Linked DNA regions of Macaca mulatta. The protein of the gene in region 4 purifies or fractionates together with the protein of the main gene of each other region. This does not show direct contact. Links are inferred from orthologs where the notes say so. Each region holds a gene or a part of one and is shown on either strand. Other genes may lie near its edges.

Evidence for each region.
Region 1: the proteins of DDX6 (region 4) and AGO2 purify together in Homo sapiens (affinity purification with western blotting; 5 studies listed by BioGRID and IntAct, with this or other methods). This does not show direct contact. The link is inferred for Macaca mulatta from reciprocal best matches to the Homo sapiens genes DDX6 and AGO2.
Region 2: the proteins of DDX6 (region 4) and LSM12 purify together in Homo sapiens (affinity purification with mass spectrometry; 5 studies listed by BioGRID and IntAct, with this or other methods). This does not show direct contact. The link is inferred for Macaca mulatta from reciprocal best matches to the Homo sapiens genes DDX6 and LSM12.
Region 3: the proteins of DDX6 (region 4) and G3BP2 purify together in Homo sapiens (affinity purification with mass spectrometry; 3 studies listed by BioGRID and IntAct, with this or other methods). This does not show direct contact. The link is inferred for Macaca mulatta from reciprocal best matches to the Homo sapiens genes DDX6 and G3BP2.
Region 5: the proteins of DDX6 (region 4) and ATXN2L purify together in Homo sapiens (affinity purification with mass spectrometry; 6 studies listed by BioGRID and IntAct, with this or other methods). This does not show direct contact. The link is inferred for Macaca mulatta from reciprocal best matches to the Homo sapiens genes DDX6 and ATXN2L.
Region 6: the proteins of DDX6 (region 4) and DCP1B purify together in Homo sapiens (affinity purification with mass spectrometry; 6 studies listed by BioGRID and IntAct, counting the BioPlex papers as one, with this or other methods). This does not show direct contact. The link is inferred for Macaca mulatta from reciprocal best matches to the Homo sapiens genes DDX6 and DCP1B.
Region 7: the proteins of DDX6 (region 4) and MCRIP1 purify together in Homo sapiens (affinity purification with mass spectrometry; 3 studies listed by BioGRID and IntAct, with this or other methods). This does not show direct contact. The link is inferred for Macaca mulatta from reciprocal best matches to the Homo sapiens genes DDX6 and MCRIP1.

The regions. Positions count from the first base shown.
Region 1 is NC_133413.1:150,854,864-150,858,363, reverse strand, and holds the end of AGO2 (protein argonaute-2), read left to right. Parts: intron 1-1,920; coding exon 1,921-2,120; intron 2,121-2,378; coding exon 2,379-2,497; 3' UTR 2,498-3,196; downstream 3,197-3,500.
Region 2 is NC_133421.1:68,427,636-68,431,607, forward strand, and holds the start of LSM12 (protein LSM12), read right to left. Parts: upstream 2,801-3,972; 5' UTR 2,789-2,800; coding exon 2,665-2,788; intron 1-2,664. UniProt on the Homo sapiens protein: Nicotinic acid adenine dinucleotide phosphate (NAADP) binding protein. Confers NAADP sensitivity to the two pore channel complex (TPCs) by acting as TPC accessory protein necessary for NAADP-evoked Ca(2+) release.
Region 3 is NC_133410.1:58,136,092-58,140,329, reverse strand, and holds the start of G3BP2 (ras GTPase-activating protein-binding protein 2), read right to left. Parts: upstream 2,801-4,238; 5' UTR 2,549-2,800; intron 2,491-2,548; exon of another isoform or gene 2,360-2,490; intron 2,305-2,359; exon of another isoform or gene 2,274-2,304; intron 1-2,273.
Region 4 is NC_133419.1:119,438,972-119,442,471, forward strand, and holds part of DDX6 (putative ATP-dependent RNA helicase DDX6), read right to left. Parts: intron 2,031-3,500; coding exon 1,908-2,030; intron 890-1,907; coding exon 761-889; intron 1-760.
Region 5 is NC_133425.1:28,113,749-28,117,248, forward strand, and holds part of ATXN2L (ataxin-2-like protein), read right to left. Parts: intron 3,330-3,500; coding exon 3,179-3,329; intron 2,710-3,178; coding exon 2,585-2,709; intron 170-2,584; coding exon 78-169; intron 1-77. UniProt on the Homo sapiens protein: Involved in the regulation of stress granule and P-body formation.
Region 6 is NC_133416.1:2,872,238-2,876,253, forward strand, and holds the start of DCP1B (mRNA-decapping enzyme 1B), read right to left. Parts: upstream 2,801-4,016; 5' UTR 2,636-2,800; coding exon 2,486-2,635; intron 1-2,485. UniProt on the Homo sapiens protein: May play a role in the degradation of mRNAs, both in normal mRNA turnover and in nonsense-mediated mRNA decay. May remove the 7-methyl guanine cap structure from mRNA molecules, yielding a 5'-phosphorylated mRNA fragment and 7m-GDP.
Region 7 is NC_133421.1:91,485,787-91,489,823, forward strand, and holds the start of MCRIP1 (mapk-regulated corepressor-interacting protein 1), read right to left. Parts: upstream 2,801-4,037; 5' UTR 2,744-2,800; intron 1-2,743. Other genes in the region: PPP1R27 (protein phosphatase 1 regulatory subunit 27), read right to left, coding at 3,235-3,358, 4,024-4,037. UniProt on the Homo sapiens protein: The phosphorylation status of MCRIP1 functions as a molecular switch to regulate epithelial-mesenchymal transition. Unphosphorylated MCRIP1 binds to and inhibits the transcriptional corepressor CTBP(s).

The DNA.
Region 1 (3,500 bases), on a different chromosome or scaffold from region 4:
GGAGCTGAGAGGGGGTTCTGCTGTTGGAAGGGTTGAGAGTGGGTTCTGCTGTTGAGAAGCAGGCGATGGAGTGTGTGCAGGGTTTGTGGTGCTTCTTGGTGCAAAGCGCCTGTCCCAGTTTTGGCTTGCTTTGCCAGGGCTGTTGAGATGGGCCTGGGGCCATGCCGTGCCTGTGTGTGCCCTCTGTTCAGGCTTCCCTTCTGGTGGGGGAGCCTCAACCACCAGGGCCTCCCGGGCGTGTTTCCTGGGCAAACTCCTCCTTGAACTTTCTACCCAAAGTCTTTCTAATGGGCGATGCTTCTGTGGTGAGCTGTTTATGGCCCAAGGCTGCCACTGCTGCTGTGTCCTTAGTAGACCCACGGAGACAGATGCCCTCACTCCCCCAGGCCCCGGGACGGCCACCAGTCACACACCAGGAAAGGGGTGCCAGAGCATGTGCAGTGGAGCATCGGGGACGAACGTTCCACTGCCCACCAGCACCAGGGGCCTCAGCACAGGGCTAGACACAGAGCAGGTAGCAGGGACTGTGCTGGACAGGTTGTTGTCAGAAGGGTCTGGGAGGCTGGCAGGTGGAGCCGGCGGTGAGGCAGGCAGGCAGGCAGCGGCGGCAGAGAGGCCTGCAGTCAGCAGCTAGTGCTGCTTTCATTTCAAAGGATCTCCAGCCGCAGGAGGTGTGTAAAATGGTACTCACGTTCACACTCTCACTTCTACAAGGTTACTGCTAATGTGTAATTTTTTTTTTTTTTAGACGGAGTCTCGCTCTGTCGCCCAGGCTGGAGTGCAGTGGCACGTACTCAGCTCACTGCAGCCTCTGCCTCCCAGGTTCCAGCGATTCTCATGCCTCAGCCTCCTGGGTAGCTGGGATTACAGGCGCACACCACCACACATGGCTAATTTTTGTATTTTTAGTGGAGAGGGGGTTTCGCCATGTTGGCCAGGCTGGTCTCGAACTCCTGACCTCAGGTGATCTGCCCAGCTTGGCCTCCCAAAGTGCTGGGATGACAGGCGTGATCCACCACACCTGGCCTAATGTGTAACTTTTGTTAGAGGTCTTTTTCTTGCTGTTATAAATCAATTATATAAAAAGTAAGATACACAAATGGCACCGTCCTTGTTACGTCCACTTTCATATTGCTTTATATCTTTTTTTTTTTTTTTGGAGACGGAGTCGCACTCTGTCCCCCAGGCTGGAGTGCAGTGGCACAGTCTTGGCTCACTGCAAGCTCCGCCTCCCGGGTTCACACTGTTCTCCTGCCTCAGCCTCCTGAGTAGCTGGGACTACAGACACCTGCCACCACGCCCAGCAATTTTTTGTATTTTTACTAGAGACGGGGTTTCACCTGCATGAAACCCTGGATGGTCTCGATCTCCTGACCTCGTGATCTGCCCGTGTCGGCCTCCCAAAGTGCTTGGATTACAGGCGTGAGCCACCGCACCCAGCCTGCTTTATATCTTTGCTATGATTTTTCTGTGTGTAAATAAATGTGTACAGTTTTACACATATGGGGCCATATACTATATGTAGTTATGATGCTTTTTTTTGAGACAGAGGAGTCCCTCTCTGTTGCCCAGGCTGGAGCACAGTGGCAGGATCTCGGCTCACCACAACCTCCACCTCCTGGGTTCAAGCGATTCTCCTGCCTCAATCTCCCAAGTAGCTGGGACTACAGGCGCGTGCCACAGTTGCCTGGCTAATGTTTTTGTATTTTTAGTAGAGACGGGGTTTCACTATGTTGACCAAGCTGAACTCAGACGCCTAACCTCGTGATCCACCCGCCTCGGCCTCCCAGAGTGCTGGGATTACAGGCGTGAGCCGCCGCATCCGGCCTATGATGCATTTTTAATATAAATCTTCTTCCACAGTATCCTTTTCAAGATTTTATGCAAGTCCAACTGTCTAATCTTCTGATCTGCTTTTAGGGGACAAGCAGGCCTTCGCACTATCACGTCCTCTGGGACGACAATCGTTTCTCCTCTGACGAGCTGCAGATCCTCACCTACCAGCTTTGTCACACCTACGTGCGCTGCACACGCTCCGTGTCCATCCCAGCGCCAGCATACTACGCCCACCTGGTGGCCTTCCGGGCCAGGTACCACCTGGTGGATAAGGAACATGACAGGTGAGTGGCATTCCCGGCTGGAGGCCACAGCAGCGGTAGTTTTTGCCACGGGTGTTGGCAGCTGCTTTTCTGAGGAAGCAGCAGGGCCCCAGCAGCTGGAGCCAGCACCCTAGAAGGCCTTATTAGTGGCATGGCCGTCAGCGTGGGACTTTCCCCTCCCCCAGGTTCCTGCCGTGCCATCCCGACTTAGTTATCGACGCACCGCCTCGTCGTGCATTAAGGCTGCACATTCTCATCCTCTGTCTCTCTCACCTGCAGTGCTGAAGGAAGCCATACCTCTGGGCAGAGTAACGGGCGAGACCACCAAGCACTGGCCAAGGCGGTCCAGGTTCACCAAGACACTCTGCGCACCATGTACTTTGCTTGACATGTTTTAGTGTTTAGCGACTGTGTACCGAGTGGGATTCACGAGACCAGCTACACTCAGACCAACAGATGGCCAGCCCTTCCGTGACAGCCAGCATTGAACATGAGACGTCATTGATTTTATTAGATTCTCCGTTTTCCAGAATGCCTTCCGTCCCAGATTTCACACTTGGATTTTGAACTGCAGACCTGTATGAGAACCCAATGTCATAGGAAATATGGTTTGCTAAAATCTATAAGCTGCTTATTAAAATAGAGTCCCGTGTTTCCTAAAAATCTAAAACCAGTCTATGAACTCAGGGCTTTAAAACATTTTTAATTTATTTGGTCATTCAATTTACTTGTTTTTAATACATGATTCTCTATGAAATTGATGGGCTCAAACTAGCTGTGAATCTTCTGAGAGTGAAAGCAACACAAAACACAATTGTGGTTTTAAAGCCTTGAACATTCTGATGTTGTCACTAAAGTTGATTTCCGGGCGATGCTCGTGTGCCGCTGGCGTGGCTCACCCAAGGTCCTTGACCGAGGGCCGGTGGCCATGCAGAGGCCTCCGCAGGTGCCGAGTTCTGCCAGCACTGCCCTTCACCCGGCCTGAACTAAGGAGCAGTGGCAGAAGGTGGGCCCCGTGTGTTTACAGCATTTCCAGGTCCAGAGAGGTTGGCAGACAAGTGCCATTTTAATAAAAATGTATTTAAAAAAAGAAAAAAGACAATATACTGACAGTCTAATCATCAGATTTGTCCTATAGGACTGTGACATTTATTTTCCAAAGTTTTTAAAGAATACGGGTCTGTGGTGATGAATACAGTACAATCCTTTTTCACTGTTATGTCTTTAATGTAAGAGAAAATTATATATATCTGGTTTGCAGTATTAATGTGATAGATAGATGCTGTTTTTTTCATTTTATTGACTATGGGGTGCTTCTGTGATCTGTTTAGCATATCAAGAGTGTTTTGGAGCCTGGAGACGAGACTGCCTCTCAGTTCTTAGTGCTTAAGGACAGGAATA
Region 2 (3,972 bases), on a different chromosome or scaffold from region 4:
CTAGACCTTTCTGTTCTTCCTATAATACTCTGTATCTGCACAGTGTTCTTTTTACTCTTTCAGATGTGAGCTTTCCCATTTTGCAAAGGAGAAAACTACACACTGGAAAGGAAATTCACCCAAGGTGATCCAGCCAGTTAATCCATTCATTCATTCACACATTCATTCTCCAAACATTTAAGAGCCTACTGTATGTCAACTAAAAATTGAGTAATTCAGCCAGGCGCAATGGCTCACGCCTGTAATCCCAGCACTTTGGGAGGCTGAGGTAGGCGAATCACATGAGGTCAGGAGTTCGAGACCAGCCTGGCCAACATGGCGAAATCCCGTCATTACTAAAAAAAAGTTAGCCGGGTGTGGTGGCACATGCCTGTAATCCTGGCTACTCGGGAGCCTGAGGCAGGAGAATCACTTGAACACAGGAGCCAGAGGTTGCAGTGAGCTGAGATCATGCCACTGCACTCCAGCCTAGGTAACAGAGTGAGATTCCATCCCCCCCCAAAAAAAAAAAAAAAAGAGTATTTCCTAGTTTCAAGACCCTTCCAACCAAACCACTAATGTAAAAGGTCTTATTTCTTCCAGGTGTAACCTCTCATTTTTTGAAAAAGCAACAATTGTTAGCACAGTGGCTCACGCCTGTAATACCAGTACTTTGGCAGGCCGAGGCGGGCGGATCACGAGGTCAGGACATCGAGACCATCCAGACTAACACAGTGAAACCCTGTCTCTACTAAAAATACAAAAAATTAGCTGGGCGTCGTGGCGGGTGCCTGTAGTCCCAGCTACTCAGGAGGCTGGGGCAGGAGAATGGCACGAACCTGGGAGGCGGAGTTTGCAGCGAGCCAAGATCGCACCACCCACCACTGCACCACTCCAGCCTGGGCAACAGAGCAAGACTCTGTCTCAAAAAAAAAAAAAAAGCAACTACTCTTACTATAATTAGTTTCAAAGGACATCTTCCTAAACTAGAAATCTACAAGCAGTGGTTAAATGAATTAAAATACTTGCCACTCAAAGGCAGCAGACTCAGTAGGAAACTTCATTTTGAAAGATGCCATGGCCGGGCACGGTGGCTCACGTCTGTAATCCCAGCAATCTGGGAGGTCAAGGCAGGCAGATCACCTGAGGTCAGCAGTCTGAGACCAGCCTGACTAACATGGAGAAACCCCGTCTCTACTAAAAAAAAAAAATACAAAATCAGCCGGGTGTGGTGATGCATGCCTGTAATCCCAGCTACTAGGGAGTCTGAAGCAGGAGAATCGCTTGAACCTGGGAGGCGGAAGTTGCAGTGAGCCCAAATCAAGCCACTGCACTCCAGCCTGGGCAACAGGAGTGAAACTCCGTCTCAAACAAAAAAAAAAAAACAAAGCCGGGCGGTGTCTCAGGCCTGTAATTCCAGCACTTTGGGAGGCCGAGGCGGGCAGATCACGAGGTCAGGAGTTCGAAACCATCCTGCCCAACATGGTGATACTCCGTCTCTGTTAAAAAAAAAGATACAAAAATTAGCTGGGCGTGGTGGCGCGTGCCTATAATCCCAGCTACTCCGGAGGCTGAGGCAGGAGAATCGCTTGAACCAGGGAGTCGGAGGCTGCAGTGAGCCAAGATCACGTCACCGCACTCCAGCCTAGGAACAGAGCGAGACTCCATCTTTAAAAAAAAAAAAAAGATACCATAAAAAATTACTCCTTCAAGATTCCAATAAACCCACCTGTAGCTCCCATAAAAGGGGAAGCTGTGGCACATTTATCCCAACAAGAAGCGTTTCGTTTCCAAGACTGAGTTTCCTGGAGTAATTCAGAAGTCATTCCCACCCCAAAGAAGCAGGCCACCTTTTCCAATCAATTTAACATTGCTGCTTTCAAAAGGGAGGCTGCTACTACTACGTAAAAGGACTCCATGTGCTGGACTGATCAAGGCAGCATGAGAACTTCACTCTTTCACCTGTAACTCACACATCCCCAACCCACATAAGCCCCGGCAAGCCCTCTCTGGAACAGGTTTCCAATGCAAACATCCCCCAAACAGCGATTTCCAAATGACCGAGAAGCCTAAAAGTCAGAACAGCCCCCCCACCACCACACATACACACGCATCAGCGAAACAAGCCACTATCCCCAGTTCAGATACAAACTCTGCCCTGCACTTACTCTCCCCCAAAACAGGCAAGGACCAATTTGGTCACCATTCCACCGCCCTTCCTTGGACGAAATCCCATCAGTGCACATGCCCTCCTAAATTCTATACCTTTGCCCTACCAGCAGTTCCTTACCCTAAACATCCCTCCCCATAATATTTCACCCGCTCCTCCTTTCCATCCGGGCTCCAATCCACCAGCCCCCTCCCAACACCACCCCCTCTCCTAATCACTGTGTCCCCTCTCATAACGTTCTTCCCGAAAAGCCATCCCCGTGTCAAGCCCTCCTCCACCCACTGATCCTCGGTAAAGCCCCAGCTCCCGCAAGGGGAGACAGGATCCCCAAAGCTGACCGAAGGGCCCGCGGGAGGGGGAGGGGAACTCAGGGCCATGCGCATGCGCCCCGGGCGCCGCGGTAGCCGGTCGCCCCTAGGCCCGGAGAGAGCCCCAGCCGCCGCCGTCGTCCCCCACCCCCCGACCACCGCACCTATACGCCGGCCCGGACTCGGGCTTCACGCAGGGAAGGATACTTAAAGCCAGCATTTTGGATTGGTAGTCGAAGGCTACCACCTCGCCCTGCAGCCGCTGCTCCTGGCACGTCCGGCACGACACCTGGCTCCCAACGCTGAAGTACTCGCCCGGAGGAGCCGCCATCTTGGGAGTGCAGCCGCGGCCGGCGGCGGCGGCGGCAGCAGCGGGCGAAAGCCGGGCCCCTAGTGAGCGCCGCGACGCGACGCGACGCACGGAGCGTGCTTGCGTCACACGCCGGGGCGTGGTCTGACGCTGGGTGGCTAGGGAGCCTAGGTGGACTAGGGAAGAAGAGGAAATAAAGGGGAATCTGAAAAATATTTGTGTAGCTGCGTCCGCTCGGTTAAATGCTTGTAGAGTCCATTTTAGAAGTTAAGGATAAATGACCTACGTGGAATGAAAGGGGGAAAGAGGAGAGAGCTGCAGTCTCCATTATATGCACACCTTCCACACAAGAGTTTAATGAATGAATTTTATAAAATATATTAACCCCATTTTGCATATAAGGAATCAGAGCCTCAGAGGACTTAACAATACTTGGACAAGATGATTATAACGGCCGGGAGCGGTGGCTCACGCCTGTAATACCAGCACTTTGGGAGGCCGAGGCAGGTGGACCACCTGAGGTCGGGAGTTCGAGATCAGCCTGGCCAAGATGGTGAAACCCTGTCTCTACTAAAAATACAAAAATTAGCCGGGTATGGTGGCGCGTGCCTGTAATCCCAGCTACTAGGAGGACTGAGGCTGGAGGATCGCTCGAACGTGGGAGGCGGAGGTTGCACTGGGCCGAGATCGTGCCACTGCACTCCAGCCTGTGCAATAGAGCAAGACTCCGTCTCAAAAAAAAAAAAAAAAGATGATTGTAACTAGAGAGTGATAGTGGAAAGAACATTGGCTGTGGAGTGAGATAAGCCGGAACCAGAATCCCAGGTCAACCTATTACTAAATCACCTGACCTTGAGTAAGCAAATTACCTGATCCTGTTTCTTCATAGGCATTTGTATTGTCACTTCTTGAGCATCTAACAGCCCTTTGAGGTAGGTATCAATGTCCTCCTTTTACAGAAACTACGTTTTAGACTAAACTTGTCCACGGTTCCACAACTAGCAAAAACAGTCTACCTATTTACAAGGACAGTGCTATTTACTGCTATACTGTGTTAGATAATAATACCTACCTCATAGTTAGGAGGTTTAAATGCGATAACGTGTATATGTGCATGGCATGTACTAGGTCTTTAATAAATGGTAGTTCCCCTTTAGTCATCCATTATTCTTAGAAGTCAAGACACTTCCTCTTCTTCCTTTTTG
Region 3 (4,238 bases), on a different chromosome or scaffold from region 4:
AACGTTTAACAAGTAACCTACTATTTTCCTTTGTGTCTTTAAAATAGATAGGGCATTATCTTTATTTACAGAAAAGGATGTTTAGAGAGCCTAAGGAAAGGTGTTTGGGGTCCCCCAGTTACAGTAAAAAAAAAAAAAGAGGACTCGAAATCAGGTCTCCTGACTCTAGTGATGTTTTCACTACATTTTGGTTAGGAACAACCGCTTTGGAAGAGCAGCCAGCTCTTCCAACAATACAAAAATTAATTTTAAACAAGCAATTGTTAGCTTACGTGAAACTGTTGAGAAGAGTGAAAAGCAAAGGAATACGGCAGGCCAGTAACAGAAAACCCAAGAATCATTTTCAATACACCTATGGTTTCAAGATAGGGTAAAATACTTGGAAATTAGAAGATAAAAGTAAGTGGAAACACAACAGTCAAGAAACTAATTCTATTGCTTCTGAAGGTAGGCTAGGGAGTTGGACCAATTTATTCTATCGGATATTAAACAAGTGTCTACCAGTGGAGAGTAACTAAGTCATGTTTGTCCATTAAATCCTACTGAATTTAAGTCCAGACGCAACACTTTAGTTTTTGCCTTTCATCAACATTGAAAAGGACTCATTCACTGTCTCCACATTCACTCAAAATATGTGGAAAGTCTCTTCAAAGCAATCTAGGGGGAAAATGTTAAATCCTAATTATGGGTAATAAACAGCGATAATTTTGCAGGATAAGGAAGGGAAGTTTTCAGAATCTAAAGAGGCAGTGCCAACACTTTCTTCAAACCAGGAGTTGCCTGCTGACAAATCAACTGCTTAGCTGCTAACTGAACAGTTAAGTTAGTTACTCCACGAAATTATCAAATAACGTGTTTTCTTCTTTACCTTTTAATTTTTATCCCCATCCATCCCACAAGCATTCTGGCTCACTCTTGATGTTTTTTCACTATTACTAATATTTCGACCCTGAATATCAATCTGAGCTCTTAGTAAGCAATTCATTCTAGGTCCTTATTATTCCTACAATTCCTTGACTGCTTTTCAGAGTTAGTTTGTAAAGATTAAATCATAACATAAAGGCCCATATGAGTAATCTTAAAAATTTAAGAAAAATGTAACTACTGCTAAAGAAACGGTAAATCAATCCTAAGAGGTTCAAACGCCTCGTACCGTGTATCTCCTAAGACCAGGAATCTTGGATTATCAAAAGGACCACTGGATCCTAACAGGCCAAAAGTTTACTTAGAAACTTTGTTCACATGCCTAAGGCTATATTAACTGCCAAATATGGAGCTGGAGAAGAATTGCCATCATCTCCCACTCTAGTACACCGGGGCTCTCTTAACGGCAGTTAATGGTTCCTAGATCCAGGTACCTGCAACGCTAACGTTTGAAAGACTAGAACAAGGTACGGAGCCTTGAACCTAAAACCACAGTATCTTAATCCAAGTTAATATCCCACAACAATCACAGGGGAAGAAAAGGACAACTTTACTATTCCAGCTAAAAGTGCACGTGCCTTTTTTGTTGTTGTTGTTAGGAAGGAAAAGGCACTCTCCCACCCCCCCACCCCAAATCCGTTACAACATTAAGTATGTCTCGGGGAAAAAAACTGTTCTATGCAGGAAATTGTAGACGAAAATCTATATTCGCCCCAAAGCGGCACAGGGCCATCTTAAGAAATCTGCTTTTAGAGACGCAGGGAAAATTCTATAAGATTCCACAAACAAAATCAACACAATATAGGGAAGTTTATGTTCCTTTCTGTCCCCCCACCCCCAAAAAGCGGGAACCCATCCCTCAAAAGTCATTCCCGGGTAAATAAGGGATCGTCTGCATGAGAGGGGGACGAAGAAGGCGCACGTTACAGTTCCAGTATCCGAACACGTTCGGATTAAACCCGCGGTGGCGGGGAGGAGGGGGTTGGTCACAGACTACGGAACACTAGGTACTGGGTAAGCCAAGCGGCGGCTGCCTTCAAACACGGATTCTGTTTCCGTGCACAGAAATGGTGCCCGGAGGCCGCTACTTTCGCATCTGCGTCGCTTCTGCCTCCGCCGACAAAACCTCTTTTCCCCTCCCCCACGGGCGGGGCGGCGACGGCCTCCCCGCTCCGAAGGAACAGGGAATAAGAGCCGAAAACGATTCGGAAACAGGAACGGTGGGCTACGCACCCTAAAACATCCCCTCCAGAAAGCCTACTCCCACACTTCCTGTATTAAGCTTCCATCAGCGCGCCTTCGGGAGCTGCTGCGTGCCCCCCTACTTCGCCACCTCATCCCCAACAAACCTCAACCCCACCTGTGCCTTCGGAGCCCTCTGCACGCAAGACGCTCGCGGGTCACCTCCCTTCCCAGGCGGCCTCCCACCCCTCACCTAGAGGAAAGACTGGTCTTCTCTCACGCACACACGGCAGCGTAGGGAGCCGGCAAGAACAATGTCTCTGCCGCTACACCTCCGGCTCCCGGGCTCACACACCGGACGATTACCTCGCGCCGCGGAGTGCGAAGAAAATGTCCCTTTCCGACCACCACACCGACCTCCCCTCCCGGCCCCCGTACACACCTCCAGCCAACGGCGCCGGCGGGTACGTCGCGCGGAGGTCAGAAGAGTCGCTGAGGACCGGGTGCGGCGGGTTCTTCTTGCTCGCCGCCCCCTTCCTCCGACAACTCGGAAGCCTCGGAAGCCGGAGAGCCGCGAGTTCGTCTGCTTCACAACCACCTCTTCCCGGGCGCCAGGCGCTGCGACGAGCGACAAGGACCAGGGACGTCCCGCCCCCTTTGCCGCCGCCCCCTCTTATTGTTTTACCCCTGCCGAAAGGGCCAGGGAACCCCCGAGCACAGCGTCAGCCAATCACGCATCTCCTCCCGAACCGGGCCCAACCTTCCCGTGTCCCTCTGCGGAGCACGCGCAGTACGCTGCCGCGCTCGCACACGCTCGCGCCCGGAAAGCCGGGGAACCGGAACCGGCCTAAAGCCAAGATAAGAGTCCGCTGATTTGACGTCACAAGCAGGCTGCCTTTCTCCTGCCCCGAGGCTCCAGGCTTGCCGCCCTTCTTCCTTGCCGCCCTTCTTCCTGATCGCGCAAGCGAGAGCTGGTTCGCAGCAACGCAGTGTCTTTTGTAGACTGATACTCTGGTCCCTTTTATTAATGGGAAGGAGGGAATTTAGTAATCTTTCTGAACTAGGTGTCTGCAGGTTGCTGCTGTAGACGAGCTTAAAATGCAGCCGGTGATTTCAGCTGTTTGCACACTAAACTCACCTACATTGTTTATTTAACCCATCCTAGGTTTTAAGCCCCACCAAGAGGCCCTGCAGTAAAGGAAGAATATGACGTGGGCTTTACAGAGGGGGAAAAGACTATTTCTTTGTGTGCTTGTTACGAATTTAGGCATGGCTAAATATCAATACATACTAAAGCATTTTACATACTAAAGCTGAAAGGCCTGAAATATCAGGATTACAGTCCTAGTCTAGCTCTAAGCCCAGACTTGCCCCCAGGGTGAGACACTGGTGACCTTGTTTCATGGAAAAAGCCAAGCCAAATCTTGTAGTCAAGGAAGACACTTCGCATCTTAGGTCTGGCAGTGTTTTCAGAGAATACCGAGATAGCACAGGAATTTTGGAATGAAAGACTGATAAAATGTTCAAAGAAATGTAAAGAAAAAAATACATTAATGAATGCTTTCGAACTAAACATGGTGGACGCAGGCATATACATTTCATCAGTTTTTTCGCAGTCCTATAAGGGCATTTTTAAGGTATTTGGCACGTGAAGACAATATGTCAAATACCTTAAATATTGGCAGAGGCAATGCCAACATTAGGGACTCCAAAATCTACAATATCTTTACCTTTAGACTGCTTAAAGATATTGTTATATGCAAAATATTTGGGCAGACCATCACTTTAATGAAATGAACCTGATGTTTTTCCTTAACGCATCAAAATACATGCTGGCTGTCCTTTAATATACTGGGCTTATATACCAGGCATTCTTGTAATTACACAGCCTTCTAAGGCTCACAGTAACCCTGTGAACTAGTTCCTTTTTTTGTTTTTTAGACGGAGTCTCTCTCTGTCGCCCAGGCTGGAGTGCAATGGCATGGTCTCGGCTCACTGCAACCTCCGCCCGCCGAGTTCAAGTGATTCGCCTGCCTCAGCCTCCCTAGTAGCTGGGACTACAGGCGCGTGCCACCACACCCAGCTAATTTTTATATTTTTAGTAGAGACGAGGTTTCACTATGTTGGCCAGG
Region 4 (3,500 bases):
GGATACTTGTTCACAGTATGAGAGCTAAACAAGAGGACAGAGCATTGTCTTCTTCAACCTCAGCTGGGTATGTGCGTGTCAGGTGACTTAAACTCTTTGCCACACTGTACACGTCCACAAATGACTGCTAAACTGCCTTGAGTATTAATTCTGGAGTTACAAATAAATTCTAGTGACTAAGCAAACTCACAAATACAGAATATGTGAATAATGAGTATTAACCCTAGTAAAGGTCTAAGTATTTCAGAAACTATTCAAAAGTGTATCTGTGACTTGTTAATCATTTAGTATCAACTTTAGGTCAACAATTAAAACTGCCTTTTAGGAAACACTATGAATTTTTTAAAAACTTTTTTTTTCCTTCCCGAGATGGAGTCTTGCTCTGTCGCCCAGAGCTGGAGTGCAATGGCGTGATCTTGGCTCACTGCAACTTCTGCCTCCTGGGTTCAAGCAATTCTCCTGCCTCAGCCTCCCAAGTAGCTGGGATTATGGGCACGCACCACCACGCCCAGCTAGTTTTTTTGTTTTTTTGTAGTAGAGACGGGGTTTCTCCATGTTGGCCAGGCTGGTCTCGAACTCCTGACCTCGTGATCCGCCTGCCTCAGCCTCCCAAAATGCTGGGATTACAGGCATGAGCTACCACGCCAAGCCAGAAACACTATGAACTTTTATACAGTGAAGATGGTAGGAAAACTGATGAAATAATCTGTTTTACTGGGACTCGAGAGATAATATTCAACAGCAGAAGCCTACTTCTTACCCTGGAGAAAAGTGTGTTGAGGCAGTGTACTTTTTGGCGCTCAGTTACATATGCGTAGTACTGGGTTACTCCCTTCAGAGTTAGTTCCTCCATCAGGTTAATCTCATAGGGTTTCTGCAAATGGGAATTCTGGGAGGGGAGAAAAAAAAAGATGGTTCTTCTTAAATGAAAGCAGAGTTCATCTCAAATTCAAAATATACCCACCCTATAGGTTTCTGTCTAATCAACTCTTGCTATAAGGGATGCAACTCTCTTCAAAACAAAATATATGATCTGTCATTACAGAATTTTCCCCCCGCTGCCCTGAGATGGAGTCTTGCTATCACCTAGGCTGGAGTGTAGTGGCACCATCTCCACTCACTGCAACCTCCACCTCCTGGGTTCAAGTGATTCTCCTGCCTCAGCCTCCCGAGTAGTTGGGATTACAGGCACACGCTGCCACAACAGACTTATTTTTGTATTTTTAGTAGAGACGGGGGTTTCACCATGTTGCCCATGCTGGTCTCGAACTCCTGACCTTGTGATCTGCCCACCTTGGCCCCCCAAAGTGCTGGGATTACAGGCCTGAGTCACCACGCAAGACACGTTAGAAATAAATTAAGATATAAGATCTCAAAAATGCAGCTAAGTTACTACAGGTTAAGTATTCCTTATCCAAAATGCTCAGGAACAAAAGCGTTTCAGGTTTTAAATTTTTTCTAATTTTGGAATATGCACATTACACTTAGTGACTGAGCATTCTTAATTTGAAAATTCAAAATCAAAAGAACATTTCCTTTTAGCATCATGTTTGTGGCTCAAAAGGTTTCAAATTCTGCAGTATTTTGGATTTCAGTTTACGATACTCAAACTCTATTTTGTATATAGAATAATACTGGAATCAATTCAGCTAGCACCAATGGCTATGTCATCATGACACCAAAAACTAAGAGAAAAATGAGGAATTTAATTAATTACTATTACAACCTTCTTAAAAAGTCAGTTAATTTATGTAAAACAAATCTTTAATTGATCAACTGAAGAAAGAGCCAAAGGCTTGAAATAATTAGTATAAAGTATTTTCACAGATAGGAAGATGTAATTATGAATAAAAGCATACTCATAGATCATAGGATGGCACTGATTCCAAGTACAGATTTATACTCACCATGAACTTCTGTACACTAAGAGGGAAAGTAGCGGAATATAGTAAAATCTGCCTGTTTTTAGGTAGCGTGAGAATAATATCCTCCATTATCTGCACAAAATCCTGTGACAGCAACTTATCTGCCTGCAGTAGAAAGAAAAGACAATTTTAAAAACAATAAAATAATGTCTAAGGTCTTTGGTTAATACATGGTCAAAGAATAAGGCATCATCCAACAAAAGCATCCATGAAATGTTCCTGGTGGAAAACAATAAATTCTCTCCAACACTGCAGAGTCAAATATGCGTAAGGGGGCAGAATCTATGATCCCCATCTTCTAGGGGAAAAAAAAATTCTACACTACACAGATAAACCTCCCCCCTTCTATAACAGAATTTAATTAATTAATTTATTTTTAGAGACAGCATTTCACTCTGTCACCCAGGATGGGATGCAGTGGCATAATCATAGCTTACTGTATGCAGCCTGAACCTCCTGGGCTCAAGTGATCATCTTGCCTCAGCCTACCAACCTACTGAGAAGCTGGGACTACAGGCACATACCACCAAGCCCAGCTCAACAGAATTTTAATGTGATGATTCTCATTAAAGAGGTAGTATGGTATATGTGTTTGAAAGTACAGGTTCTGTCTGTGCACGGTGGCTCACGCCTGTAATCCCAGCACTTTGGGAGGCCGAGGCAGGAGGATCACGAGGTCAAGAGTTCGAGACCAGCCTGACAAACATGGTGAAACCCCATCTCTACTAAATATACAAAAATTAGCAGGGTGTGGTGGATTGCACCTGTAATCCCAGCTACTTGGGAGGCTGGGGCAGAATAATTGCTTGAACCTGGGAAGTGGAGGTTGCAGTGAGCCGAGATCACACCACTGCACTTCAGCCTGGGCAACAAAGCAAGACTCTGTCTCAAAAAAAAGTACAGATTCTGGAGCTAAACTGCCAGGTTGAAATCTTGCCTCCTTCATTTCTTAGCTGTGTGGGAATGTTACAGAACTACTCTGTACTTCAGTTTCCACAACTGTAAAACTGTAAAACTAAAATTTGGATGTTTACATCATGTAGTAACTACTTTACAGGGATTTAGAAAAAACTTGGCTAAGGTCAGGTGTGGTGGCTCACACCTGTAATCCCAGCACACTGGGAGGCTGAGGCGGGCAAAGCATTGAGGTCAGGAGTTCAAAACCAGCCTGACCAACATGGAGAAACCCTGTCTCTACTAAAAATATAAAATTAGCCGGGCATGGTGGCACATGCCTGTAATCCGAGCTACTCGAGAGGCTGAGGCAGGAGAATCGCTTGAACGAGGTTGAGGTTGCGGTTGCGGTGAGCTGAGGTTGTGCCACTGCACTCCAACCTGGGCAAAGAGACTCCGTCTCAAAAAAAAACCAAACCAAACCAAACCAAAACAACAAAAAAGAAAAAACTCGGCTTTCAAGTTATCCAGCCACTCCTCTTCTTAAAAATTAAACCTAAACTCTGGCAAGTGTAAGAAAAAGACAAAAGCTGAATTCCTACGAATGCCTAACTACTGCATCTGAAGTATAAAACATATTTTATAAGCAAATTAAAATCTGGATGTCTACATACTATAGTA
Region 5 (3,500 bases), on a different chromosome or scaffold from region 4:
TGTTCTCCTGGAAACCTGTCTTCACTTAGTGACCCCATATCACCAACACATCACCTAGAGAGCACCAAGACACTCACGTATAAGAAGAAAGACTGCTATCGTAGGTGGTCTTCACACCGTAGTTCTCCTCATTAAACTTGAACATTTCATTGGGGTCCCATCCATTGGACTGGGGAGGGAGAAAGCAGGTTTTAAAATCCAGCAAGAAAAGCAACATTGACAAGTCACTTCCCTTCCATCAGATTAAAAACTCTTAAGATGTGACCAAATTGGCTGGGCACAGTGGCTGAAACCTGTAATCCCAGTAGTCTGGGAAGCTGAGGCAGGACGATCTCCTGAGGCCAGGAGTTTAAGGCCAGCCTAGGCAACACAGCAAGAGTCCATCTCTACAAAAAAATAATGAAACAGGTGGGTGTGGTGGTGCATGCCTGGGGTCCTAGCTACTTACTACTTAGGAGAGTGAGGAGAGAGGATCACTTGAGCCCAGGAGTTTGAGGCTGCAGTGAACTATTATGGCACCACTGTACTCAGGCCTGGGCGACTGGCTGGGGGTGGTGGCTCATGCCTGTAACCCCAGCACTTTGGGAGGTGGGTGGATCACCTGAGGTCAGGAGTTTGAGATCAACCTGACCAATACGGTGAAATCCCATCTCTACTAAAAATAAAAAATTAGCCATCCGTGGTGGCGCATGCCTGCAGTCCTAGCTGAGGCAGGAGAATCGCTTGAACCTGGGAGGCAGAGGTTGCAGTGAGCTGAGATTGAGCCACTGCACTCCAGCCTCCAGCCTGGTTGATGGAGCAAGACCCTGTCTCAAACAAAAAACAAAACAAAACAAACAACAACAACAAAAACCCAGGCAACAGAGCAAGATTCTGTCTGAAAAATAAATAAATAAGTGAACAACAGTGAAAAAAAATAAGGATGTGGCTGGCAAAAGTAATCAACTAATAATTGTAATTACTAACTGCAATTTTTTTTTTTTTTTTTGGCGACAGAGTTTCATTCTCGTTGCCCAGGCTGGAGTGCAACGGCACCATCTTGGCTCACCGCAACCTCCATCTCCTGGGTTCAAGCGATTCTCCTGCCTCAACCTCGCCAGTAGCTAGGATTATGGCATGTGCCACCACACCCAGCTAATTTTGTATTTTTAGTAGAGATGGGATTTCTCCATGTTGGTCAGGTTGGTCTTAAACTCCCAACCTCAGGTGATCTGCCTGCCTTGGCCTCCCAAAGTGCTGGGATTACTGGCATGAGCCACTGATCCCGGCCTGCAACTGTTAATAATTACTAACAATTGCAGCAGAAATTAGTGATAACTAGTAAACCTGAAAAGTCAAAAAATCCAACAAGTCTATGTCCAAGACATCCCAGAAAAATTCTGGCACATGTGCGTAGGGAATACAAGTTCTCAAAGTCCAGCAAGGTACTATTTTTAGTAGCAAAATAATAGAAACAAAATGCAGATGAGTAACGAAAAGGACAAATACAATTTGTTGCGTATACGTATGTGTGTGAATATAAAGAAAACATTACACAACAATAAAAGCAAAGAACTAGATCTATGTATCACCACGAGAAGTTCGAAAACGCAAAAAAAGCGAATTCTTGTACAAACCAAACATAACAAAGCAATAACATATTCATTCACAAGACATTTGTTTCTCAACAGACATTCTTGCTATGATGCCCAGGCTGGAGCACAGTGGCCATTCACAAGTTCAATCGTAGTGCACCAAAGCCTGAAATGATTCTCCTACCTCAGCCTCCTGAGGAGCTGGGACTACAGGTGTGGGACCACCATGCTCAGCTCTATTCATGAGCGATTTTTATTTTTATTTTTTGAGATAGCCTCACTCTGTCGCTCAGACTGGAGTCCAGTGGCACAATCTCAGCTCACTGCAGTCTCAAACTCCTGGGCTCAAGAGATCCTCCTGCCTTGGCCTCCTAAGTAGCTGGGACTACAGGAATGAGCCATTGTGCTCAGCCTCGTGAGAGATTTTAAATGTCTCAGAGTAGCTGATTTTGGGAAGAGAAACGGGTCTACACGATAATCTATACTTTTCGTTATGTTGAAAAATAATGTAATGCAAATGCTAGGAATGGTTAATTATAGATAGTAAGAAAATAAGTTGATGTTTTGGTTTTTTTTTGACAGGGTCCAGTCAGGCTGGAGTGCAGTGGTATGATCACAGCTCACTGTAGCCTCGACCTCCCTGGGCTCAAGTGATCCTCCCACCTCAGCCTCCCAAGTAGCTGGGATTACAGGTACATGCCACCAAACCTTGCTAGCTTTTATATATCTTGTTGCGACAGGGTTTTGCCATGTTGCCTGTGCTGGTCTCGAACTCCTTGACTCAAGTGACCCACTGGCCTTGGCCTACCAAAGTGCTAGGATTACAAGCATAAGCCACTGCACCCAGATGAGAATAGGTAGTTTTACTTTGCTATTTTCTATGCCTATTTGTTATCTGACCACCATCAACGGGCAACAGTAAATATTTCCCTCCCCCTTCAAATGAACCTCACTGTCAACAACCCATTCTGTCTGTCAAGCTCCCAGGTTCTCAGGGAAGGCAGCTATACCATGTCGGACTCGAGGTCGTAGTCGTCGCTGTTGCTGTCACCCCCCTCCCAGCGCTGAAGCACCTTCTCTTTGTGTTCCCCATTCACTTTTGAGTTCATGGCAATGGCTGAATCGGTGAACTTGTCTGTGGGGGAAGAGGTGAAGATCAGCAGTCAGGCCCTATTTCACAGACTTCTTTCCAATATCCCCCAACCCCACTCCCCATAAGTAGTAGTTCAGGAACGAAAAGTTTAAGAAGCCCAGAGTACGTGTGCCTGTGTGTCAGCACGGCCAGGGGGTGGGGAGGCAAAAGAAGAGTAAAAGAAGTCTATCAAGATTATGATTCCAAAGAAAAAAGAAATTAAAAACAAGCAAAGAAAATATGAAGAACCACAACACAGGCTGGAATTCATTCCATTATATATTAGACATCAAGACATATTTTTAAGAAAAAAAAAATCCACCCACCTTGCTCAGAAAAAATAAGAAAAGGTATTAAGGCAAAAAAAATAAATAAACCAAACACATCACCTTGTTCCACCTGCATGCACACAAACTGCCCTCTGTCCTCTATGCACACAGAGCAGGTCTGAGGTAAGAGCCTAGGACGATACCTTTAGTAGCGTAGTTGAAGTCAACATTTCGGAAGTGAACGAGCATGACATCACTTGGCTTAAACACCATGGTGTCCACAATGTCCTCCCGACGAGGGCCACCTGCTGGCTCAGATGCTTTCCGGTGCACAGCATCCACTGCTAGTTCAAACTACAAACACCCCCATTCCCCACACCCACGGGTCAGTTTCAAGAAATGTGAAGGCAAAATTAGGACTGGATTTCTCTAACCCTTCCCGAACTTTTCACAACACTACATCCTCAATACGCTTAGAACCAAGTGCATTGTTTTCTCAACATCAGCCACAGGACTTAGCAAAAG
Region 6 (4,016 bases), on a different chromosome or scaffold from region 4:
ACTAGCTCGGAACACAACCTCAGTCACTGTAGGGCAGTTTTCAGGCTCAGCTCACCTGGCCTCTATTCTGCAGATGTCCTAACACTCTTCCCTTCAGTGCAACAGCCAAAAACGTCTCCAGACGCTGCCAAATGTCACCTGGGGGCAAAATCAACTCCAGCTGGGAGCCACTGGTCTAAGGACTGACAGCTGGAAAATACCAGGGCTATGGTCTTCAATTGACACACAGGTATTAATATTTTGGAGGGGGGCATCTTTCCTCGCAACAGGGAGTAGATCTAACTCTAAAATTCCTATTCCAGTCATGACATAATCTTTCTTAATCCTTCTTTAAAGCAGTTCATTTTCTATATACCTTTCCTTCCTAATTTCTCCTCCTCTGAAAGGCTGAAGTCATTCTTCATCCATTTTCAGGGCAATAAGAATTCCCCTCTTTAACATCTTCCCTGCCTTCTTGTAAATACTTTCTCCTCTCTTCTCAAGAATGTTCTCATATTCTTATTAGGTTTACATTCAAATGGCTCCCACCCAGAGTGACAGCACATGGAGACAGTGGTCATAATTTATTTGCCTCCAGCAACTGCTCTGCAGCTGAACTAGGTCTCTCTCTTTGTTTTTCTGGCTACGACAGCCTTGAATATTAGAACTTTGAAAGAATGACCTTTTCCTGAGTGAATTATACCCTGTCTGAAGGCAACATGTCCAGCAAGCAGGAAAACATAACTCCTGTAAATAATGCATTGTGACACATCTGCTTTTTGATGAGGCTTTAGGTATCTAATAAACATCTGTAACTATCTTAAAAGGTATCTATCACATAGATAACGGTCAAAAGCCTACAGGAAACAACTATTATTCAAGAGAAATGCTCTACTTTCTTTATATTAATAGTTTCTCAGGATGCTCCAGACTCGAATCCCAGTGTCAAGTCAATTTATACAACTATACATCTCTGGTCCTCATCTCTCTACTATGGAATTAACTTTTACAGGATTATAACATTATGCCTTTGGCATTTTTCTACACAGCAGCAAAACAGCCTTATGTAGAATATCTTCATATATACTTTTAATTACCATGGAGGAAACTGTCTACTATGTTGCTCAATGTTCTTTATGTAAAGACCTAGGTGACAAATGCCCCTGGAAACTAGGGGGAAATAACCTTTCTCCTGATTAAGTGGTAGGCTTTCTATTACAGAAGAATGAATATTAAAGAGCTCTTCCTGTTCTCCTTTTGAGTTTGGCTACTAGGAGCGCAGACCTAAATTCTTTGCCCCATTCCTGTAAATTTCCTCTGTTAAGAACTTTGGGCAAAACTGTTTGTCTATCCCATTCTTGCTTGCTTTTTTATTTTTATGTTAATGATTTTCAGGTGAGTTTTTAACTACAGGCTGCTGAACTACACTGGAGATAAGTAGGCTTATGAATGTGGGTGTTAAAAAAAAACAGAGTTGTTCAACATGGATGTTTTCCTTGCTTAAGTTCTGGTGTTTATACAACCGACTTGAAGAACACAAAAAGTTTATCTGAAATCCATTCATCAAGGCTAAGTTCTCCATACTGTTTTGTAACTTATTTTAAAATGATGGATATCATATATGTGATATTTAATGGGCAATATATAATGGATGATGAATATTATTTGGACAAAAGTCATTATGAGGAAAGAAATAAAATTACATCTCTCTACATTCGAGTGGGTGGGTTACAAAATTACAAGCAGCAATTCCTGCAACAGGATTCCAGTGTTCTAGGCTTCTACCCCATTCTAACTGTGAGGACAATGAAATTTCATTCCATTACCATTTATTGGGACTCTGCTTTGAGAAGAGCACTAAAATAATCTGGCTCCCAAATGGCCTCCAATATCAAACTTGGTGGGCTGTCGTATAATAATCCTCCCAAGAGCATCAGCCTCCTTCTAAGTGTTGGACCCTGCCCCATTTTGTCTTTTATTTGACGAGGTTGGCTCTTTTCTTGGCGTTTCCCTAGTTTACAACTTGCAGATTTCTCCCCTTCTATCAAGTTTTGATTTCTCTTTGTCCCATCTAAGACTGACATTCCAAAATCAGAACTCTGCACTTTTATTCATCTGCTGTCCCTGCCTCCCCCATAGCCACAGATTCACTGTAACAGAACTCTGCTTTACTGTCTCGAGCACATCGGTCTTCCGACCTTAAGGCATCAGGTCCTTCCTTTCCTTCGGCTCTCAGGGTGCGGTACCCGATCGGTCTGGTCTCCCAGCGTTGGGTACGTTAGAGATTTAAGTCTTTTCCCCAACTCCAGGTAGCTCCACAGATCCGCCTCCCTTCCCCCAAACCCCCGGGAGCGCATCTCCACAACTTCGGCCTCAGGCCCCAGATCCACCCACCTCCAGGGCTTCAACGTCTCCTCCCCCTCACCGGGTCCTCCTGTCCTGAGTCTGACGCCCCCCGCCTCCACCCCAACCCTGCTCTGCACTGCTCCGCCGCGTCCGCACGCACCCACTCGTTGGCCCGATGGCCGAAGGTGTACAGAGCCACCTGGCTGGCCACGTCCACGATGCGGTTGATATAGGGGTCGTGGCGCTGCAGGGCCGCTAGGCTGATGTCGCGCCCCTTCCCCACCAGGCCGCCTGCCGCCACGGCTGCCATCTTCCCTCCCTCCCCGACATAGGCACGGGGCTCTTGGAAGCCACTCTCAATAGATCGCAGAACGAGCGAGCTGCTTCGCTACCAAGAACCCACGGCGACCACAAGGCCCGGGAGGCCTTTTCCGGCTCCAGTCACCCACACCCTCCCGCCCGCCGACTGACGCAAGGCCTCACTAATCGATGGCCGCGCTCCGCCCACTGAGGATCGTTGCCACTGGCAACGACAAGCCCAGGCCTGCCCTCTGCATCCCGTTTCTTTCTCCAAGAGCTGTTTTTCTTCACGCTGGAGCCTTTGAGCTGTGTGCGCGGTAGGACTTCCTTCTTGGATGTGTTCGACGCCTTGGCATATCTTTTCTTTGGCGCTTCAGTGATCAGACCTATCACAATAAATAAGCCTCGAGCATCAAGAACTCTGAAGAGAAAGAGAACTGAATTGATTTCTGAATGCGCTAACACCCAGTGGTTCTCAAAGTGTGGTGTGGTCCTGGAACCCCTTGGGAGTTTCTGAGACCCTTTCAGGGGATCTGCAAGGTCAAAAAAAAAAAAAAAATTTGATGACAATGCTAAGACTTACTTATTTGACTTGTTCACTGTGGTGACGATTTGCAGACAATGGTGGTTAAAAGTGCTGGTGGCTTAACCCAATCATGGCAGGGACACCAAACTGTATTGCTAGTGAAAGTACGCACGTGTCACTAACCTGCATTCTCAGTTAAAAAAAAAAAAAAAAGCTAGAGAGCCAGTGTCACCTGATGGTGTTCTTGATAAGCAGTAAAAATTATAAATTTTATTGAAGCTTAATCCTTGGGTACCATTCTTTTTAGTATTCTGCATGAAAAAAATAGGAAATAGGCATAAAGCACGTCTGCTACAAAATGAAGTGTGTCATACTTGTCTCTAGGAAAATACTTCTGTGCTTGAGTTGTGGGCCGAATTCACGTTTTTTTTTTTATTTTCATAAAACATTTTACTTGAAAGAAAGATGGGCAAACTATGATTATTCAAACAGGTACTTGACAGACATTTTCCTGAAAATAAATAAAGTGTGCCTGTCACTTTCAGGAAAACAAGGGACAATTACTGCTGCCAATGATAATTTTTAAGCCTTCAAGCCAGAATGAAAAGTTTAGAAAATGTGTATCTGCTGCCATGAGCTTGACAACGTCTCAATATTTAACGTTTTTTTTCTGATGAGATCAATGATGATATTAATGAGTGCAATTTTAACAAATCTTGTGTAATGGAAAGTGTCAGTATCTCAGAGATCTGCTTAACTCAGTGGTCCAGTATTTTCCAAATGACTGATGTCTCATGCTACATAATCATGCACAGGCAAAAGATCCATTCCAGGACAAGGTGGACTAATGGATTTTTAATGTAAC
Region 7 (4,037 bases), on a different chromosome or scaffold from region 4:
TATGTCAACTAAAAATACAAAAATTAGCCAGGCGTGGTGGCAGCTGCCTGTAATCCCACCTACTCGGGAGGCTGAGGCAGGAGAATCGCTTGAACTCTGGAGGCAGAGGTTGCAGTGACCCGAGATCGCGCCATTGCACTCCAGCCTGGGGTAAAAGAGTGAGACTTCGTCTCAAAAAAAAAAAAGAAAAAGAAAAAGAAAAAAGAAAGGGGCTAGGTGTGGTGGTAATCCTAGCACTTTGGGAGGCCAGGAGTTCAAGACTGGCCTGGGAAACATAGAAAGAGCCCCATCTCTACCAGGTGTGGTGACTCATGCCTGCAATCCCAGCACTCTGGGAGGCTGAGGTGGGTAGATTACCGGAGGTTAGGCGTTTGAGACCAGCCTGGCCAACATGGTGAAACCCCATCGCTACTTAAAAAAAAAAAAAAAAAAAAAAAAAAAAAAAAAAAAAAAAAAAAAAAATTAGGCAGGGTGCAGTGGCTTAGCTTGTAATTCCAGCACTTTGGGGGGCCGAGGTGGGCGGATCACCTGAGGTCAGGAGTTCGAGACCAGCCTGGCCAACATACAGCGAAACCCCATCTCTACTAAATAATACAAAAATTAGCTGGGCGTGGTAGCACATGCCTGTAGTCCCAGCTATTTGGGAAGCTGAGACAGGAGAATCACTTGAATCCAGGAAGCGGGGGTTACAGTGAGCCGAGATCACGCCACTGCACTCCAGTCTGGGCAACAGAGCGAGACTGTATCTCAGAAAAAGAAAAAAAAGTGAGCCAGGCATGGTGGTATGCACCTGTAATCCCAGCTTCTAAGGAGTCTGAGGCAGGTGAATCACTTTAAACCCGGGAGGCGGAGGTTGCAGTGAGGGAGATCACGCCACTGCACTCCAGTTTGGAAGACAGAGACAGAGCAAGACTCCATCGCAAAAAAAAAAAAAAGAATGAAAGGGATGCTGTTGATTATTAAGCATGAAACAACTCTTCTGGGAAAACTGGAATGTAGAATCAGCCCACTCCTAGGGAGGTGGAGGCACAGAAAAGCACTGGGGACAGAAAGAAGAGACTGCCACCAGACACGCAAACACTTGTCAGGGACTAAGGGCAGGGCAGCCACCACACTGGGTCCTCCTTACACACACTGCCCATGTCCCCACAGCTGGGCCAGAAAGACACCCTGAGAACTCCCAGTTCGGCGCTGAAGGAGCCTGCCACCAAGTAGCGGTGCCCCTGCCAGGGCCTCCAGGGCTACAGCAGTTGGGGCTCGGCCCGAATGCTGCAGCTGGCCTCAGCCTCCCCAAAGCCTGCCTCCACCTCACAGCAGGTTTCTGGACTCCCTGAAAGCCCCATTCCCCACTGATACCCGTGTGGCTTTGCTCAGAGACTGGCCCTCCCTCCAGATACGGAGGGGAGTCTTATTGGGTAGAACTATATAGAACCTTCCTCCTCCAGGGGACCCAAGGGCTTCAGAGACTTCCTGGTGGGGAGGGGACAGAACCCCAGTCTCTGGCCTCTCAGTCTCAAATTCTTTCCCCCACACACAGCCACATGCCTAAGAACAGGACATGAGGTAACACTCCAGCAACGTGACAATATTGTGAGGTTCCAGAGTTAGAATCAGTGACGCCATCGCTATTCGGTGCTCCTCTGGAGTTTCTGAGATTCAAAGTTGCTAAGACTCCACTTTATCTTCGTGTTCTGTGTCTTTCTCAGCCAATCAGGCTAGAATATGATCTACTACCCAAGCAGGCGCACAAGGATGCCGCTGTCACAGCTGATACACTGGCATCTCGTGGTTCCTTGAAGACCCCCGGAGAAAGCCTCTAAGTGTTGCCCCACCTTCTTACCCTCTCCCCTGGGTGGTGGCAGCAACAGACTAAGCATGTGCGCCCTCCTCCCCATCCTGATCCCACTCAAACCACAACCTCCCCTGACTCGCCCCAGATCCAGCCCCGTCTTTTAGGAAGAGTTGGCTCTTCTTCACGTCCCACCTCCCACCCTCTCTACATCTTCTCGCCACATCCCACCCAAAGTCCACTCACTGGTCCCCGTTTACATCTCAAGGCCTTTGGTCAAGCAGTGTTCTCTGCCCATAACTATCCTACTCATCCTTGAGGGTCCAGCTCAAAGACCACCTTTCTGCGACGGCTACCCTGGGGCACGACGGAGAGAAGCACAGCCCGTGCCCCGTGTGGCTGCCGCCCCCGCGGTCACAACCACCGCCCAGTGAGTGCCTCGAAGGCAGGCGGAGGCCCGGTTCTCCCCGTTAGGCCCAGCACCACTGCCTGGGTAGACGGGAAAGCGGGCAAGGCCGGAAAATGGACAGAAGAATGCGCACGGCCCGGCCCGCGGGGCTCCGAGAGTCGGAGGCATCCTCAGGCACGGTCCCTCCGGGAGAAAGCGGGGCTCTGTCAGCCCCAGAGCCCCGACGGTGGCAGAAGGCGGGCCGTCCGCGAGCGTGCGGCCGCGCTGGGTCCCCGGCCCCTGCCCCGGCCTAGGCGGGAAAGGCGCTCAGTCCGAGTCGCGCCCTCCCCACGCGCGCTCCCAAGTGCCCCGCGGGCCGCGCCCTCCTGCAGGTGCCGGGCAAGGAACGCGGGCCCCTCCCTCGGACCCCGGCCACTCGGCCACTCCCCTGCGCCCGGCCCCGCCCGGCCCTGCAGGGCACCCGCGGCAGCCCGGCGACACCAGGGCGGGGCCCAGCCGCGCCCGCCCCGCCCCGTCCCCGCCGCCCGGCGCCGCACCCGCCTCACCTCACCCCGACCCGCCGCCACCGCCTCTTCCAGCTGGGAGGCCCCGCCGGAAATGACGCCACCGCCGGCTGCGCAGGCGCAGACGCAGCGCGCTCCCACGTGACCGCCCGGCACGCGGAGGGCGGGGGCGGCCGGGATTCCCGGGCGGGGTCGGGGCTCGTGGCGGCAGCTCTGGGCCGGCCCGGCCTGGACGGTGAGCGCCGCTGGCCACCGGCAGCGGCGGGAGCCCAGTAATCAGGACACCACCACAAGCACCACCTGTGTAGACCCAGGCCCCCTCACCTGGGAGTCACGTTTATTGAAAAAGTAAAAAGTGTCACAGTAAAAAATTCACCTGGAGACAAAGCCAGGCCTAGGAGGGGTGGCGGGGTCGTGGAGGGACGGGTCCGGCCGCCCCTGGCCCACGGGTGGGGCACGTGCTGGCCCCGGGGCGACCCGCGGCTTCCCCAGGGAGGCGGCCCTGGGCGCGGGGGCGGGCGGGCAGAGCTGGCTCAGTCCATCGTGGCCCCTTTGAAGAGCTCCACCAGCTCCTTGAAGTCCGGGTCGATGAGGTCGGAGGGCAGGTCGCCATCGTCGTTGGCTGCGTCCCTGTCCGCTCCCAGGGAGATAAGGTACCTGGGGTGCAAAGTCGCCCTGGCTGAAGCGGGGAGGAGCCGGGAGAGTGCTCGTCCCCACCCAGGTCAGAGGGCCAGAGTCCTGGGGTCACCTGTGTGTCCCCCACCTTCGGGTCTCAAGGTCCGGGTAGGGTGAGGAGGAAGAAACCTGACCCTTTGGAAGCTGTGGCCAGCTTTTCAAGTTGGCTCTGTTGAGGACAAGGGCAGAAACAGGATTCCAGAAGCTTTTAGGGTTTGTAGGGTTCTTTTTTTGTTGTTGTTGCCGCTGTTTTTAGAGACAGAGTTTCGCTCTTATCACCCAGGCTGGAGTGCAGTGGCATGATCTCCACTCAGGGCAACCTCCGCCTCCCGGGTTCAAGCAATTCTCCTGCCTCAGCCTTGAGTATCTGGGATTACAGGCATGCGCCACCACGCCCGGCTAGTTTTGTATTTTTAGTAGTGAAGGGGTTTCTCCATGTTGGCCAGGCTGGTCACGAACTCCTGACCTCAGGTGATCCGCCCACCTCAGCCTCCCAAAGGGCTGGGATTACACGCCTGAGGCACCGTGCTCAGCCCGTATGGTTCTTGCCTACACCACCAGGACCACATTTTGGGGCCCACATCCTGGGGGCCCACTGAGGCCTGGAGGGGTCGAGTTCAACCCTGTGTAGACCCAGGCCCCCTCACCTGGCTATGTCGGG